3 linked regions of the Drosophila melanogaster genome follow. The main gene of each other region encodes a partner of the protein of the gene in region 2 in a complex. Each region holds a gene or a part of one and is shown on either strand. Other genes may lie near its edges.

Evidence for each region. Proteins that work in one complex are often made in the same cells at the same time.
Region 1: Strump (region 2) and SWIP share a complex: the UniProt entries of both Drosophila melanogaster proteins name them as parts of the WASH complex.
Region 3: Strump (region 2) and wash share a complex: the UniProt entries of both Drosophila melanogaster proteins name them as parts of the WASH complex.

What each region holds. Positions count from the first base shown.
Region 1 is NC_004354.4:16,312,084-16,318,288, reverse strand, and holds SWIP (strumpellin and WASH-interacting protein), read right to left. Parts: upstream 4,581-6,205; 5' UTR 4,471-4,580; intron 4,410-4,470; 5' UTR 4,408-4,409; coding exon 3,892-4,407; intron 3,831-3,891; coding exon 3,624-3,830; intron 3,568-3,623; coding exon 2,467-3,567; intron 2,405-2,466; coding exon 2,152-2,404; intron 2,098-2,151; coding exon 1,943-2,097; intron 1,877-1,942; coding exon 1,450-1,876; intron 1,386-1,449; coding exon 1,180-1,385; intron 1,120-1,179; coding exon 676-1,119; 3' UTR 539-675; downstream 1-538. Other genes in the region: Cyp1 (cyclophilin 1), read left to right, coding at 1-107; CG9915 (uncharacterized protein), read left to right, coding at 5,323-5,341, 5,407-6,205. UniProt on the Drosophila melanogaster protein: Acts at least in part as component of the WASH complex which may regulate wash nucleation-promoting factor (NPF) activity and is required for its membrane targeting during endosomal sorting.
Region 2 is NT_037436.4:16,120,178-16,126,552, reverse strand, and holds Strump (strumpellin), read right to left. Parts: upstream 4,552-6,375; 5' UTR 4,460-4,551; exon of another isoform or gene 4,408-4,459; 5' UTR 4,367-4,407; coding exon 4,248-4,366; intron 4,192-4,247; coding exon 4,089-4,191; intron 4,030-4,088; coding exon 1,202-4,029; intron 1,142-1,201; coding exon 770-1,141; intron 708-769; coding exon 554-707; 3' UTR 501-553; downstream 1-500. Other genes in the region: Pgm1 (phosphoglucose mutase 1), read left to right, coding at 1-211, 278-416. UniProt on the Drosophila melanogaster protein: Acts at least in part as component of the WASH complex which may regulate wash nucleation-promoting factor (NPF) activity and is required for its membrane targeting during endosomal sorting.
Region 3 is NT_033778.4:12,178,596-12,182,911, reverse strand, and holds wash (washout), read right to left. Parts: upstream 2,420-4,316; 5' UTR 2,372-2,419; intron 2,290-2,371; exon of another isoform or gene 2,287-2,289; 5' UTR 2,212-2,286; coding exon 712-2,211; 3' UTR 539-711; downstream 1-538. Other genes in the region: CG13175 (uncharacterized protein), read right to left, coding at 1-116; CG8860 (uncharacterized protein), read left to right, coding at 3,119-3,325. UniProt on the Drosophila melanogaster protein: Acts as a nucleation-promoting factor by activating the Arp2/3 complex to induce actin polymerization. Participates in both linear- and branched-actin networks.

The DNA.
Region 1 (6,205 bases), on a different chromosome or scaffold from region 2:
GCGAGGTCGTCGAGGGACTGGATGTGGTCAAGAAGATCGAATCTTATGGATCGCAGTCTGGCAAGACCTCCAAGAAGATCATTGTGGCTAACTCTGGTTCTCTTTAAGAAGGTGCGATGCAAAAGCAACAGCAACATTGCAAGAAGAAAAATCTGTTAAGACGAAAACCATTTGCATTTTCTCCAAAACATTTTTTTTTACCAATTACTGTACTGTAATATTACGAGAAAAATACATAACAAACCAACATATTTTCAATAGACATGTTGGGTTTCCTTTGGCCAATCAATTGTATGTGGGGGCCAAAAGTGAATAGAATTAGTGCCCACCAATGTCAGAAAGCGTTCAATTGGCTATATAATATGCATTAAATCTGTAACTTTAACATTTCCATTCACAAAAAAAAAAACAAAGAAGAAAAACAATGAGACGACAAGAGTCGAGAGGGGCTTAGAAAAATGTTTGATCTTTTGATGTTGGCTTACTTACTACTAATAATAGTATTAGTAATGCTGATTATCTAATTGCATATATATATATATATACCAACGTTCTACGCTATGTACCGGAATCGGAATTGTATTTTCGTCTTAATAAATCTGAATAAACGGCAACCAACTACTCAATTGTTTGTTGTCACTGCTGGGATCTTTGGTTTTGGTAAATGGACATATTTTATTGGAAGAATATTTCGGAGCTACTCAAGGTGGCGTACAATAGATTGTATTCATGCTCGTAGGCGTTCACATGTCGTTCGGTTATCGCCACTGTCTGGTGAAGCTTCTCGTCCAGCTGCTCCGGCGCCGTCCGCTGCTGGCCCGCCAAAATGTCGCGCACCTTGGAGCGCTCCGCGTTCAGGTGCTGCGTGATCGTCTGGCTCCAGCCCAGCTCATGGAACTCCGTCTGCTGGTTCAGCATGTTGAGGATGTAGACCAGGCCGATGGCGAAGCCATCCTCGAACAGCGAGATCTTGGTCTGGTCCTTTTTGTAGATCTTTAGCTTCTGCTTGACCCGGTAGTCAATGTAGTTCATGATGAGCGCCGGTGTGATGAGGTAGAAGGTTCGCAGGTGGTGGTTATGTGGATTGCACAAAAAGGGCTGAAAGCCTTGCAGAAGAAGCTGCAATATAAATCCATGGGTTAAGCTGGTTACCTAACTTGTTAAGATCGTAGACTGCACCTTGAAGTAATTTGTGCTATCGGAATAGCACTCCTTCATGTGACCCAGGCTCTTCTCGTACTCCCTGATGGAACCCTCCGTAGCCTCGTGCACTTTGGAGCCCCCGCAACTGAAGTTGCTGTCGAATCTGGTTTTATACGAGCGATTCCGGAAGTTGGCATTCTTGCTTCCAGCCTGCAGGAGGCGCACATAGCCAACAGCGTTGCCTAAAAGCAATATTTACGTTTATATTTTAAGCATTTTCTTGAATTATGGTCTTTAACCACCTACCGACTTGTGTGATAACCTTCCTGAAAAGATCCATATACGTCTCGCCATTGCTGGAGCAGCCTAGCCTTCTGATCTTCTTAAGAAAACTATCGGCGCGCTCATAGGGATACGACTGATAGGACTTGCTGTGCTTGTGCTCCGTGTGAAAACGCAGCTCCTTGAGCAGCCGCGACTTGATCTGCTCGTCGTGGAGGAAGGTGGAGAAGGTGTAAAACTTTTGGCGCAAAAACTGGTATATAAAGTTGACGGTGGTGTTGATGATACCGGTGCCGTGCGTCTGCACCGAGTTGGCCACGTGCCGGGTGCCAATGATGTCGAGGTGCTTGCTCCTGCTGTTCGTCTCCACGAACACCTGCAGGTTCATGTTGTAGGCATACGAGGAGGCGAAAGTGTGTATATTCCGCATGATCTGCAGCACGTCTATGCCCTTGAAAGTGGGAAAGAATTGTTTGGTTAATAGAAGAGATTGCTTATTGATGATTCAATTGGTTACCTGGTCAATTATCTGATTGGGCAGGTGGTCATCGATGGGTTGCAGCTGCAGCACCTTGTTGGCCAAATGACGCATCTTTTCATACGATTTCCAGTCGTGCGGAGCGATTGTCGTTAAGTTGTAGAACGTGGCAGTGAAATAGTTCTCAAGATGATCTAAAATATGTTAATGAATGGCATGATCTCTCAGTTTTGTAACCGATATCTTACCTTTTATAATATTGTAATCACCATCGTTTTCAACTGCAACTGCATTGATGCAGAGACGATAGTCTAAGGCACTTTGCTGGAATGGTTGATCCTGGCTCTGGAAGAGATGCGAAAGGGCCTCCACGCGCAGAAAGAACTCCAGGTGGTTGCTCAAAAACTCAATGATCAAGTCATTCGCTGATTGCTTGGGACACCTTGAACCCCTGAACATGGCCATGATCTTGTCCAGATGATGGCTCACCGACACGAGGTTCTGCCGATGATAAATGGCATAAACATGAAGTTGCTTTGCCAGAAACTGAGTAAGAAACCAACCTGCAAGGAGTAGGGATTGCGTTGGAGTTCGGTGTACTCCTTAAGCACCGAAGTGTCCAGAAACCAGTGATTATATACCAGACTCGAGGACTCCGACGTGTTAAGTTGTCCACCAATATTCCGCATAATGTCGCTGATACTATTAACACGATGTAGGATCGATTTGATCAACTTTTGATTGTCGGCGGGCAGGAGGCGATTATCTAGAAACTCCCCGAGGGCTAGATTTACGAAAGTCAAACGTTGCTTGCTCGGAAATCCCATAATGGACTTCTCGGCCAGCTTTATTGTGGCCAAAAAGTTGATCTTGCGCTGCAGCAACTTGAGGACAACTATCTTCTTTTTCGTTGTGTGCAGCAGGTGTATGACCTTTTGCTTCTGCCATTGTATCAGTGAGCTGATAAAGCGCACGAAATTGATTTGGTTTGACTCAAAGGTCTTCTGAATGACCTTCAGGTACTGCAGCAACCGAGAGACGACGATCCAATCGTTTCTGGTCATGGGCGTCATCAGAGCCACGTGCCGATTGATCAGCGCGACTGCCAGCAGGTTAACTTGATCGGCATAGGAGTGTCCATTGAGAATCAACTGCAGAAAAGTCTTGAGGTGTCCAAAGACTCCCACATCGAATACCCTTTGCATTTGGATGGACCACAGCGATAGTTGGACGCCCAATTGGCGACAGGTCCTCTGATCGCTAAGCCTAAACTTCTCCAATACTGTGCTATGAACTTTTGGGCCTTGTCCATCTTGCGATCGGGCTGAAGACTTCATCAGGGTTTTGGCATGTAGAGAGAGGAATCCGGAAGGCGACCAGAAAACGCTTCGGTTGAGAGGCACCTGCTTATGCCTGGCCACCAAATCGATCACATTCTTGACCAGTTTTCCCTCCATCTGGATGCCTAGCTCATGGACGACGACCACGAAGGTGGTAAGTCGAATAATGTGCTTGGGATCCTCATAGTTTTTAAGTTCGTTACTCGGATTCGCGTCGACGTCGAGAAGCTGCCTACGAATATAGGCATTGGAATGCTGGGTGATGGGGCTAACACTATTCAGGCCAAATTGCTTCTTCAATTCCATCAAATTGTCCAGTAGAATCTGTTTGGAAATATCCATGAAAGGGCGGTTACCATTCACGTTTTTCTTTGACTTACCCGAAAGAAATCCTTGGTGATCAGATTCTCTATATCCATTAGCGATGTACTAAGGCCATTGAGCTCCAAGTTCGCTGATTGGCTATTGGATAGGTTCATCAGCCACTTCTTGTACAGCGCCCACATGGTGGATATCTTCGATTGGTTCGCCAGTTCATTGAATACCACTATGTGTTCCAGTAACTCACTCATTGCATCAAAGACAGCCTGCAAGTTTCGACTTCAATTGGTTACTACACTTGAGATGTGAGTTCGATCGTTGACTTACGAATATGTGGACTTCATTGATGTCCATTGGGACGCTAACAGATGCGGCTATTTGTCTCCAAAGGTTTTGGAGTATCACAATCATGCGATTGAGCAAGAAGTAAACCTGGCAGAAGAAGTCCATGGAGCTGCTCATGCGGACCAAGGATCCCTCCAAGCCGGCGGAACCCTCGGATGTGTGGGTATGTGGCGGGAGCGTATCATCTAATCGAAAGTCGCTGAAAAGGAATGCCAGCTGGAACCGTTTTGCCTTCCTGGACAGATTTCTGCACTGATTGCACAGATTCGCCAGAGTTGTCAGCGGTTTATTGGCCACCAGCTCCGATTCCTCAAAGCTTCTGTCCGGAGCCATGGAATCGTTGCCCATAAAGTTTACCTCGACCACGGGCGACATATATACACACTGTGCAGACTCGGAAACATCCCGATTAGGCACTTTATCTCGCAATAATTTCAATTTCCCATCGTGCTCCGATATGAAGGAGCCGTAATCCCGTAGGATATCCTCGGCAAACATAGCTGAAATAGAAAATATATAGATAAGAATAGTATTCCATAGCTGATATCGGCGTTTTCATACACATAGAGCTTTGCTCTTCCTTCATGTCTACCAATTTTAAAAATATTATTGTTTTGGTTTTCTCATGGCAAATTTAGGGATGGGGCATTTCAAGTGGGTGGATTCCGATTCGATAACGCTAAATTCTCGATATCTTTTGTTTAAACAAGCGTAGTTAAAACCCAAAAACTGTGTAAAATCGAAAATCGCGATTAATTGAATGGAAAAGTTGGTAGCATGTCTATTCCGATAAATGATTTATTTATACAATTTATAAGCAAAAATAATCCTCAGATAATAAATTCATTTTATTTATATAAGAAGCAATATAAATTTTTGATTCAAGAAACAGCGGTAAAAATACATAATCGTAATGACTATGAATATATGCAATACCTAGTTTTCATTCTGACTTAACAAATTAAATCAATTTCTATAAGTTTGGTTATCGATTTCCAAGGATTAAAATCGTACTCCTTGACACGAATACCTGTACGTCGCAGTCTATTTTTAAAACAAGACTTTTGTCCATAAACAAATTTAATTTTGATATTTAAGTTTTGGACTTAAATGTTTTGTAGAATAAGTTATTTCGGATGTCTTATCATAGAAGTTTTGTTATCGATAACAAAAGGCTTGTCGTGTATAAGGGCCCTAAACAGCGTGTATGCATTAGTGTATGTGTACACACAAGCGTTGATGTTCCGTTTCCATTCGTTCCACTGGCCTTACAAATGCCGAGCAATAAAATCGCGTCGTATTTTATAAGTCATTGCAGGAATTATTTAATTTGAGCCTGAAAGCAGTTTGACCAACTGACTAGGCAAATTTGGTTGTGTACTACTAAAAATTTATAGGAATAATTAGTACGGCATGGAAACGTCTGAAATAGGTTGATTACCAAATTGATTCTTAATGGAAATTCTTGTTTAACCATTTTATACACTTAATTTTCAGAAAAGGCCGGCGGCGACGAAGCCGAGACCTTATCCGAGCCACTCGAGAAGACCACAACAGACACGGCCGCAAAAGCGGAGCTAAAGGAAATTCAAGATACCAATCCCGACGCAACCAATTTCGAGCCAGTATTGCCAGAGAAGAGCAAGAGCAAGTCTCCTTCGCCGGCACCCAAGAATGGTGATGATAATGCCGAGGCCATCGCCGATCGCTCGCGTAGTCGCAGTCGCAGTGCTACCAGGAAGAGCGCATCCCGCTCCAGAAGCGGATCCCATAAGTCCCGCAGCGGATCGGTGCACTCGGCAGCCAGTGGCCGGCGTTCGCGCAGTGGCTCCAAGCAGTCGCTAAACGGTTCCCGGCGGTCGCGGAGCGGCTCCGCTCCGTCCCGCAGTGGCTCCCGTCATTCTGGCGCAGCACCGGGATCGCCTGCTGGATCCAGACGTTCGCGCAGCGGCTCTAGACGATCCCGCAGCGGTTCTAGACAATCCCGCAGCGGCTCTAGGCGTTCCCGCAGTGGATCTAAGCAATCGCACCGCTCACGCAGTGGGTCTAAGCGATCCCGCAGTGGATCACGTCGCTCCCGCAGTGGCTCTAGGCGATCCCGCAGTGGGTCTAAGCAATCCCGTGGTGGATCGCGCCGCTCCCGCAGTGGGTCTAAGCAATCGCGCAGTGGATCACGTCGCTCTCGCAGTGGATCTAAGCGATCTCGCAGTAGGTCCGGTTCTAGACGCTCAAATGCATCGCGGAGCGGTTCTCGACGTTCGCGAAGCGGCTCTGTATCTAGACGATCTCGCAGTGG
Region 2 (6,375 bases):
TGGAGAAGACCATAACTGCTCCGGAGTTCGTCGGCAAGAGCTATTCCAGCGGCGGAAAAACCTACAAGGTCAAGGAGGCCGACAACTTCAGCTACACAGATCCTGTCGACAAGTCGGTGGCCACGAAACAGGGTCTGCGCATTGTGTTCGAGGATGGCAGCCGCATTGTGGTGCGCCTCAGTGGAACTGGAAGCTCGGGAGCAACCGTTCGGTGAGTCACGATGAGATTTAATATCAAACAATTCTTTTCAATAATAGATGAATTGTTCCTTTTCAGCTTGTACATTGATTCCTATGAGAAGGAGAATGTTTTGGGCCAGGCCAGCGTGATGCTGAAACCCTTGATCGACATCGCCCTGGAGATCTCTCAGCTGCCCAAGTTCACTGGACGCAACGCTCCAACGGTTATCACGTAAAGAGTTCCTGTCAGCGAAGGAACACTGAGATTACCAACCCATCCAACTACAATCTCCTCTTGTACCTCAGCGAGGCATTTCCTTGTTATGTTTCGGATTTATTAAAGTTTGTGTAGCCCAAACCTGTTGGTTAGTTTTCATTTTAGCAGTGTGGATAAATACTCGTACTCGCTAAGTATTATGTTGGGAATGCGCTGCTCCAGAACTCCGAGTGGCAAACGAGCAATGCGTATAAAGGCTAGAAGAAAGTGCAGGGCGGTGACCACCTCGGGACCCAGGATTTCTTTATCCCTAATAAAGAAAAGTGTATGTCATCTGATATTCGTGGATTATCTTGTAACTAAAGTACTTACAGTAACTGAGCCTCCGATACAGTCACCACGTACTGACTCATGTAGGATATATACAGCATCTTGACATTCTTGTGGAACTGCTGCAAGATCGTTACTAGACCCACAATAAAAGGCACATTATCAATGTTATCTTTGGCTGATTTTGGCAACAGACAATCGGTAATCGTGGAATGCTGCATACGACCCAAATGGGCAATGGTGAAAAGAAACATAAAGAGGGCCATGTTATGGGTGTTCTTTGTGATAAGGAAGACTTGCTCTAGGGGCTCAAAGTTTCCCGTATAGAGCAGGGTTTCCTGCAGTTCTGTCAACATGACCACACCCTTTTCATCACAGAGATCCTTGCTGAGAGACAGTTCTAGTAAAAGGGCTCTGTTTGCGGAAGAGATTGCAAATATATAAATATTTTTAGGATGTTATAGTTTGACTTACTTGTTCAGGGTGTCCGCCGTGTTCTCCAGCAACTTGGCATCACATTTACTGCTAAAGCTTAGCTCTCCTGCAATTTCTCTGCGGAGCAGCTGCTTCTGTCCAATGCACAAAACCCAATCCAACAGCGTGGGCCACACTTTCAGCCATCGTTGGGTGTAAGCTTGATAATACTTCAAAGGCTGCTTGGACACCTCCGGAGTTGGGAAGTCCCGGGCCTCCAATTCCCGAGTCAGTGCCGCTAACGTATCCACCCACATACGATCCGAGGTCAGGTTACGCTGTAACCGTTCCAAGTTGCGCTTTAACTCATCAGCCAACATGTGAGCGTAGAGGCGCTCCAATCCCACCATTCCTGCCGGAGCCAAGGCTTCTCTAAGTATCTCAAAGAATCCAGAGCCGGCAAGAACTTCCTGGTGAGGAGCCTTCTTCTCATACCAAGTGCTTTTTAGATCCAGAAAAATAGTTTGCTTGGGATCTGTGCACCGCAGAATTTCGTGGGCCAGACGGCCAATGAAGTTGTTAGACGGATCTCCCAACAGCGGTGGAAAGTTGGGAATGGGTATGATCTGGCTCTGGTGCTCCGATTGAAATTCCTGCACTTTGTTGCGGAGGAAGGCATTGCATTCCTTCTCCACATTGTAGTTAATAATGCGTTGCGATTCCTCCAGCAGGATTCGAAGTCCCTGAACTCTTAAGTAGTCCTCTATATATTCGAAGGATCTTCGATATCCCTCTATTGTTTTCGCCAGAGCTTGCAGTTTTTGTTGAAGAAGCTGCACAGGAGTCTTGCCTTTCTCGGGCGTAAATATTAGGCCCAGATTGTAGGCATTTGCCAGATGATTTACAAGCTCCTTGCGTATCCCATCCTCCAATAGTTGTTTAGGATCCAGCTCGATTACTCCCACTAGAGTTGTTTTCATCATAAGAATTCCCTTCGTAAAAACAGCAATGGAGTTTGTAAGCTGAGCCACCTTGGCCCGCTCCTCAAACTGGGCATAGTCCTTTAGACGCTCCTTCTCCACTTTAGTGGGAAACTCCTTGATAACATTCGTAAGGAGATAGATGATCTTAGCCAGAATACTGAACATGGTCTCTGGAACAATTTGCAGAACGCGGCGCAGGAAGTTTGCTAGCTCGGTGCTGTAATAGTTTGACACAGAGACCAGATCCTCGCTTCTGGCCTGATTGATCCGCATCAGCGGCACCTCCAGGGTGCTGGCCAACTTGAGAAAGACCGCTCGTATACCTATTACCGCCTGTGGCTGTCTTTTGATGTGTTCCTGCATGGGAGGAGTGAAGTCAAACTGCAGTAGATGCCAAGCATAGCTGAAGTCAGTGATCATCTGGATGTGAATCTCAATGTCTTCCTTCAGGTTTATTAGCTGTGCCATTTGATTGAGCATGTCTCGCGTCTCCTGTAGTTGCTGCTTCACCAGCATGTTGGAATGAAGGTTGTGATACTCCTGCACATCGTCCAGTGCTTGCATCACCTGAATAATCAGCCTTCCGGACTTTTGGGGCCTGCTCAATTCCAGTTTCTGGAGACGTCCAGCAACTTCGCCAAACCATTGCTGCAACTGAGGATTCTGTTCAATCTTGGACAAAGGCCTGGAGCCGGCAAAGGCTTCGCTCAACTCATTGAGCCTTTGCATGGCCTCCTCTCTGCTTTTCGTCCAGCGCTCCTCCTTAGTCTGCTGAATCTCTGCCAGGAACTCCCTCACGCTCAGCTCCATTTGGCTGCAGTTAAGCAGTAAGTTATACAGCGTATTCCGATTGAATTGTAGTTCGTGGAGCACACATTTTTGCACTTGACCCGTCAAAGTAGCTGTGTGAGCAAAGATGAAAACTTCCCTTGAGGTGTGCAGGCAAAACCAGCGGAGCAGGACATTGGATTGCCTCATCAGGTGTATGATTTTGTTGGCGTGCTCCAAAACAAAGTTGTCATTTAGAACTCCTTCACGAACAATCTCCTGGGTTTTTTGAGTGATCTTGCCCAATTGCTCCTTTTGCTGCTGACAGAGTGCTTTGATTGCCGGTGGACTTATCACATTTTCAATAGCAGATCGAGCGGCTTTGAAATCCAACCAGGCATCCACCAGATTCACTGTCATGCCCATGTACACGGATATGGTCCAGTTGTCGCAAAAGAACTTGTCCACAATTTCGCGCATCTGTGAGCCTTGGGAATGAAGAACTTGCGGGCAGAAATACAAGCACACATACAGCATGGCCGCCTGAGTAGACAGAGCCGTGGAGCGATGGGCAGGATGTGGATACAGGTTCAGTTGGTTGTATATATCATCGCACCGCAGACGAGCCACCACTAGATCCACGAAATTCTCATCGAAACGGAAGCGAGAGAAGTAGGCCTCCGGGTATCGGGGAACCACAAGGCTAGCAGCTCTAGCGCCTGCCTGTTTGCCACCCAAACCGAGCACTTTAGCGGCAATCGACGGATGAACATAGCCCGTAGATCGGAGCAGGAGACAAACATCATGGATATTACTCTCGTCTCCGCTAGGCGTTGCATCTCCTCCACTATACCGATAGTAGGCGATCAGCAGACGTTCTCTCACATCCCCCGGAATGTGAAAATCGACCATGAGGAGAATCACACCAAAGAGATACAGGGATTCGCAGAGCAGTTGGCGGCCCTCCTCCTCCTGAAGTACCGTCTCCAGCGTCTGCTGGATATAGTAGCCAGTGTTCAATTCCTCGATATATTGCTGGAGATCGGAGGCATAGTGATGGATGCTCTGGAAGGCCAGGTAAAATCGTGTGATTAGCGGAAGCTGGGCACGTGCCTCATCATCGAGTTCGGTCAGTTCCTGAAGGAAATCAGGGTGTTTAATACGGTGTGGTCTCGGGTATATTAACATCAAATTACCGGACTTTGTTCGATCCTCCTCTCGTGATCTTCGGCTATCTTGAAGTAGCTGAAATCCAGAATAAGCTCGCCATATTTCGCCTTATCAGCTTTGTTGTCCAATCTGGGGAGGAGTGGTCACCAATTATTCATTAATTGCAGGTTTTTAATCTATGTTACCTATAAATACTGGGCACGTAGTCCTTGAGGCGCAGGATCTCTGCTATTATAGAATTACCCACCGACACTATATTCAGCAGATTCTGCCCACAGGCATTATTGTCATCCAGAAAACTCATTATGCATTTCCTTGATTTCTGTGATTCTAACAAATGCCTCTCTGGAGAAAGCTTAATTTGTATAATCACATTATTAATTAAAGCTGTACATACTTTTTATCAGTCCACGAATTATGTTATTGTTTGTTTATATTGTCTATTCATTTAGTCATATCAATTCTTTTTTGCACTAGTGTATTATCTGCAGTAATCTTACATAAGTCCGGTCACACTATTTTGTTGTTATAGAGTTACCATGAACTTCGAAATGTTGGCGCATAAATTTGAAGTGAGAAACTGATGATAACAACCTATGAGGTACATAATTTAATAACAATTATTAAATTTATTAAAATGAGATATGAAACTACTATTGTATTGAATAATAAAATTATAATATTGGCTTAATAACTCTATTCGATGCATTAAAGTGCAATAATGATGGAAGATCTAATGGTTTCCGACTTTAGATTCACGATTTCAATTTTAAAATTTAAAAAAGAAAGCAAGTTGTAATACGACATTAAGAAAATTGCCAATTCGTTATGTGTTTCTGGTTGAATCCAAACGTGAATTTGGTTCTATTTATTTTGTGTTAGATTTTCATTCTATGGGAGCTACACAAAGTTTCAGTAGGATTAATTAACATAATAAATGAATATAAAAATATTAATAAAATTAATTAATTCAACTACATAAATTGTAATGATTTAACTAGCTAATTAACTGAGATACCGTTACATATTCCATACGACATAAAATAATAATATGCATAAGCAAACACTGCGCACTAAAATAAATTCTGCATATTCCCAGCTAATAATTCTCCGTGCTCAGTTGAAGTTTTCTCAATTTTTTCTTTTATTTTTTTGCTTAATGTTAAAACATAATAATAATAATATATATATATTCAGTTATATGCCTACCAAACTATGCGCTGTTTACGGTTGCATCTGCATTTTGTTTATCATATTAATTTTTACACACAAAGAATTTGCTTAGAATGGTTTCACTTTTTGCTTAGGTTTACTGAATTACATCAATTGTTGTCAATTTATTTGTTATAATTTTTTTACGGGACTCTATTTTACAAGATTTATCGAGCTAATTGTATAAAATTTGTCTATTTTGTGTGTAGTTCAGATTGGATTAGGGGATTTATGGATCTATGGAGCCTAATGAATCGCCATTCTTAATGGATGAACGAGCGCCACTAATAAAAACATATTTTTTCGGTGTGCCAAGTTGTCTGCGCTCGCATCGCTCCTTGCCATCGATAATTTGTTAATTACGTTTGCGTTTTTACCTAGTTATCTATTAGAAAAACCGTAGCCTAGAATGTATTTACAATTTGTTGGGTTTGTTGTGGTCTTGCCTAACGATTGATTTCCGTTTATACATTATGGGTAATTAAAAATTACATCTTTTTTAAACAACTAAACCTAATTCAATGGATGTTTAAATGGATATTTTTCGGTTCTTTTTTTGATGTGTTCTTTTGTTTTGCTGTTGCTGAACTTGTTTCGATCTAGTTGGTTTTAAAAACCTTTATCTGTAATTCGGTTTCGATTTCTCTTCACGCGCCCTTGCTTTTTACTTAAAATCTAGGAATTATGGTTCGTTTTCGTTTAACAAACTAAGCTAAATAATTAAATATTAATAATTATGTTTATATCGTTTAGATAAGGCCGTCAATGCAGTTGATGCAAACATTATTATGTTACAAATTACAAATCAAACGCCCGCTGACTGCGCGCTCTCTTTTACCTTCTTTTACTTTCCTCTCTATTATTTTATTCTCTTCGTTTACTCTGGTTTTGTTTTGTTTTTGGATTGGTTTGGTTTAAGTTTTACAGAGAATTTATTGGAAAAATAAACGAGCTTTAAATTAGGCTTAAAATCAAATACGATTAGAATTTAGGATTTATGTAAATAAATGTAAAAATAGAAATTAAATAGAGCCGCCTAACTAAAAAGAAACAACAACAGGGGACACGCGACGCATTTAAAGTTGAGGCTAAAATATATTG
Region 3 (4,316 bases), on a different chromosome or scaffold from region 2:
TTGCCCTGCTCCTGGCCGTCCTTCAGTCCCTCCTCGTAGCCCAAACGTGCCTCCTTCTCCTCGGTCAGGACAATATCGTCAAAAAGATCGTTTATATCCCGCGACGGACTTGTCATTATATGTGGTTTCACCGGATTGCTTGTAAAAGCTCTCCTCTAGTGTAGTAGTCCTTGTCCTTGTCCCTGATTGTAACTCCAGATATTTGGCAGCTTCTCTAACTTTAATATTTAAATTCGGTGGATATTTCAATTTGTTTTTACCCGAAATGTGATTCCACTGCGGCATTTTACAGCACTGGCAGAGAGCAACACAACAGCGCTGTTAAGGATTTAACAGGGAAATTCGTTTATTTCAAATAGGAAAATAGCTGTTATCTAAAACTAGAATTTAGTGTTTTATTATAATTTAATATCGAGTTTATTTTAGTCAGTATAAAGAATTGTTTTATTTCATTTAGCATCACAAAATGTTTCATTGTCCTGTAATTTTATCAATTAAAGTTAGCCAATGTTCTCAATAAGAAATTACACACATTTCTGCTAATATGTAGTTTTATTCAACTGGTTGACTTTGACCTAATTTGGCATGCTCGCTTGGGCACAGAATTTGGAATTCGTTTTAGAAATTTGTATGCTTTAAGCTAGAGAACCTAGGTTGCTAGTGCTTTAAGCCAGCCAAGGCACTTAAACCGGTACTAAAGCTAAATATTCACTAGTTCCACCCATCCTCGTCGTCCTCGGAGTGTTCGTCACTCGACTTAGATCCCTTGCGGGGCTGCACCGGCGGCGGTATGACGCGGGAGAGCTGCTGCATCAGGGGATTGCCAGCAGTGGCCTCCACGGGATTCTGGCTCCCAGAAATTCCCTTGCGTCGCAGCATTAGCTTGTTATGCAGGTCTGCCATCAAATCCCCCGTGACAGCGCCTCCCGCCTTGGAGCGACTGTTGTCCACCACGTCGAGCGGCGCAGCCGCAGGCGACCGCAGACGACCGCCATGCACTCCACCGGCGTTTCTTATGGCGGCCATAAGCTCAGATCGCGGATCTTCAGTAGCTGGAGGCGGCTGCGGCATGTTAAGAGGTGTTGCTAACGACGGGGAGAGCGGTTTCACAGCTCCTTTGGTGGGAAAGGGTGGCGGTGATGGAATTGCGCTCGTCTGCGCTGGTGGAGGAGGTGGAGGCGGCGGTGGTGGCGGAGGAGGAGGCGGTGGTGCCGCCGTAACTGGCGAAGGACATTGTCCCACACTCTTCCTACGCACCGGTCCCGGAATGTGCGTCTGTGCCGCGATGGCTTGCACTATTATATCCTGCTCCTCGAGGCCCAAATCCGGCAGCTCTGGTAAATCACCGAACTGCTGGGAAGGCGCTATTGGTGTTTGCTCCTCCACTGGCTCATATTGCAGATCATTCGCTATGCCCGGTAGGTCGGGCAGGTCCAGCGGAACATCAATGGCGGGTGCAGCCAAAGCAGCAGGATTGTAGCGCAGGTCCCCAGCTGGAGTGGCCAGTTTGGTGGTGCCGTGGGCCAGCGAATGAGGTGCCGGAGCGAGCTGCTTTTCTCCCGTGAGTTGAGTGGACTGACTGGCAACGCGTCGAGCATTTTGCGGCGGTAGGGATCGCTTCCAGGCATTCAGATCCTCGCCGTAGGCGAACTCATTGGTATTGAATCGCATGAGCGAGGGTACGGAGCGCACTCCACCCGCAGGCAGGATGCCCAGGCCAGCGGTCCGATTGGTTATCTTCCGTTCGGCGACCAGTGGCGATTCCTGCTCCCGATCGCCACGTACATGGAAAAAGATGTCCGCATCATCCGGCTTCTGGTCCGCGGCACTGTGACTGCTGTACGTCCCTTGCGGGAGCTGGTCCACTTGCTGCTCCATTAGGGGATTGGCTGCCACCTGTGGAAAGGTGGCTGGCAGCGGTGCCAGGACGTCGCTGGCCGGAAAGCGGGCGGGTGCAAAGATCTGGATGGCCCGCTTGGAGCCAACGAGCGCATCGATTTTTGCCTGAGCGCGCTTCACACGATTGTTTATGTCCTCAACCTTTGAACCATTTCTCGCCAAGCGGGCATCGATTCGCTCGAAAATCGAGTTTATGGTTTTGTGTAGACAGTCCAGGGACTGGGCTGCTTGGATTATGGTATCCTCGTGGTGCAGGTCGGTGGCTATAATGGCCACCTGGTAGGGGCTGTGCAGGTAAGGTGACTCCTCCATTTTTCTATCGCCAAATAATTACATATTTATTTGCAATTTTACTGCTGTTCATGGTAGTGTGACCAACTCTAAAAGCTTTACAAGATGTTAAAAATGATTTGGTTCAAAGTAATAATTAAATGGATTTCTTTTAAAATTACGAAACCTCAGATTAACTAACCCCTAGCTAAACGAAACACCAGTCAACTGAACCCTCAGTTACACTAACTCCCACGTAAATTATCATTCAGGTAAACTAGACCCCAGATAAGCTAACCAGATAAACAAACCACCAGGAAACAAACTAACCTTCAGATAAACTAACCCTCAGATAAACTGCGGTGTCTCCCAAAACTATTACTGTTAATAAAGCAGTTAAGGACACGGATCGGCTGTAGTACTTCTACTAGAGAAGGCGGCATTTTTAAATACCTTTCAAACTCATCCCACTGTTAGGAGAACTTTTTTAATCAGGGGATCATTTATTCAGGATCATTACTAAATTAGGCAAATGTAAGCCTATAAGCACGCCATTCCGGAGCACGGAATTTGGAATTCACTTCCAAATGACGAAAAAATAAATAAATAGAAAACGTCCATATGTTCAAAAATCCACCGTTCCTCCATCGACGCTAGGGTAGGGTAGTGTGCCCAAATCAATTGTTAAAAACTGTTCATTAAATGATTTGCTTCAAAGTAATAATTGAATGGGTTCAATTTAAAGAAAAACTCAAAATAAATTAAAATAATTCAAATACACTTATATTTCAACCAAAAAAAAAATTTATTAACAACTAAAGGAAAGGCGTTAATTTTTAGTATGTTTTGAGCTGAGGAACTTGGTAACACTGCAAGAAGCGACACGGCAGCAAAATAAATATCAATTCAGTTCATTGGTAATTCTTAGTTAAATACTCACAAATCAAAAATGGACAAGGTTGTCAAATTCGCCGAACCCGGACGCGCCTTCGCCAAGGACTCAATCCGCCTGGTGAAGCGCTGCACAAAACCCGACCGCAAGGAGTTCCAGAAAATCGCCATCGCCACCGCCGTGGGCTTCGCCATCATGGGCTTCATCGGCTTCTTCGTCAAGCTGATTCACATTCCCATTAACAACATCATCGTGGGATCCTAGAAAGCGGCAGGTGGCCCCCGGACCGGAAAGAGATTACATGTAGTTCACGATTCCACGCGCATCTTTAGCGAAATAAATGCCCCTTCTTCGGATTTTATACACACAATACAATGTAATATCTTTGGCTTGGGTTTGAGATAAGAAAGTCTGGTTATAAATTGGGTGCTTGGAGGGTGTGCTCAAAATGTTGTAAATATATTTCCGAATGCAACTAAGCCAAAATTCAACAAAATCTTAGCTTATCATTCAGCAACAAAATGGCATGTATTGTACTATTTCATTCATCTAGGTCGAGTTGCTTATTTTGAATCGTTCTTCCAATTGACAATGTTTATATTTTGTTATTTTAACATAGAGATGATTTAACATTAAATTCTACATTGTACAATGGCATGTATTTGGGTTCGCCTAATATTGCTTTAAAATTAGAAGATTTTAATTCTGTTATAAAAATCTTTCTTTAACCTTAAAAATAATTTTATATGTGTTGTATGCCTTTTTAAAATTACTGTTTTAGCCATCGTTTTGTTCTGCGACACAATTGCTTTTTCTTAAAAATTCCTAAACAAAGAAGCAACAATTTTTTTACAAAATATAAGCTAAATTTTATAAATTGATGGTCACACTTTTCCTTTTAAGTCGGGGATCGGTTATCGAATAAATTTTAAAACATGGCAGCGCCCACTAAGTTATTTGATTTTAAACGCGAATTTCTTACAACCTGCTACACGCCGAGTGTGTATTAGAGCACATAAGACGAGGGGATATCCAGCCCTGGAATTTTGAACTGCCACGACGAGTTATTCGAGCTCGGATATCTTGCTGTTCACGAAGCCCATCTATCTATATGGAATTGGTAAGTACCACCATTTGCGACTTGGGCTACGGTTAAAGCTCACACGTCGCCTTTTTAAGTTATTAATACATTAATGAAATATACATAGTATACTTACTTATTTTCCCAAGCAAATTTAGCAATCCGTGCATATAT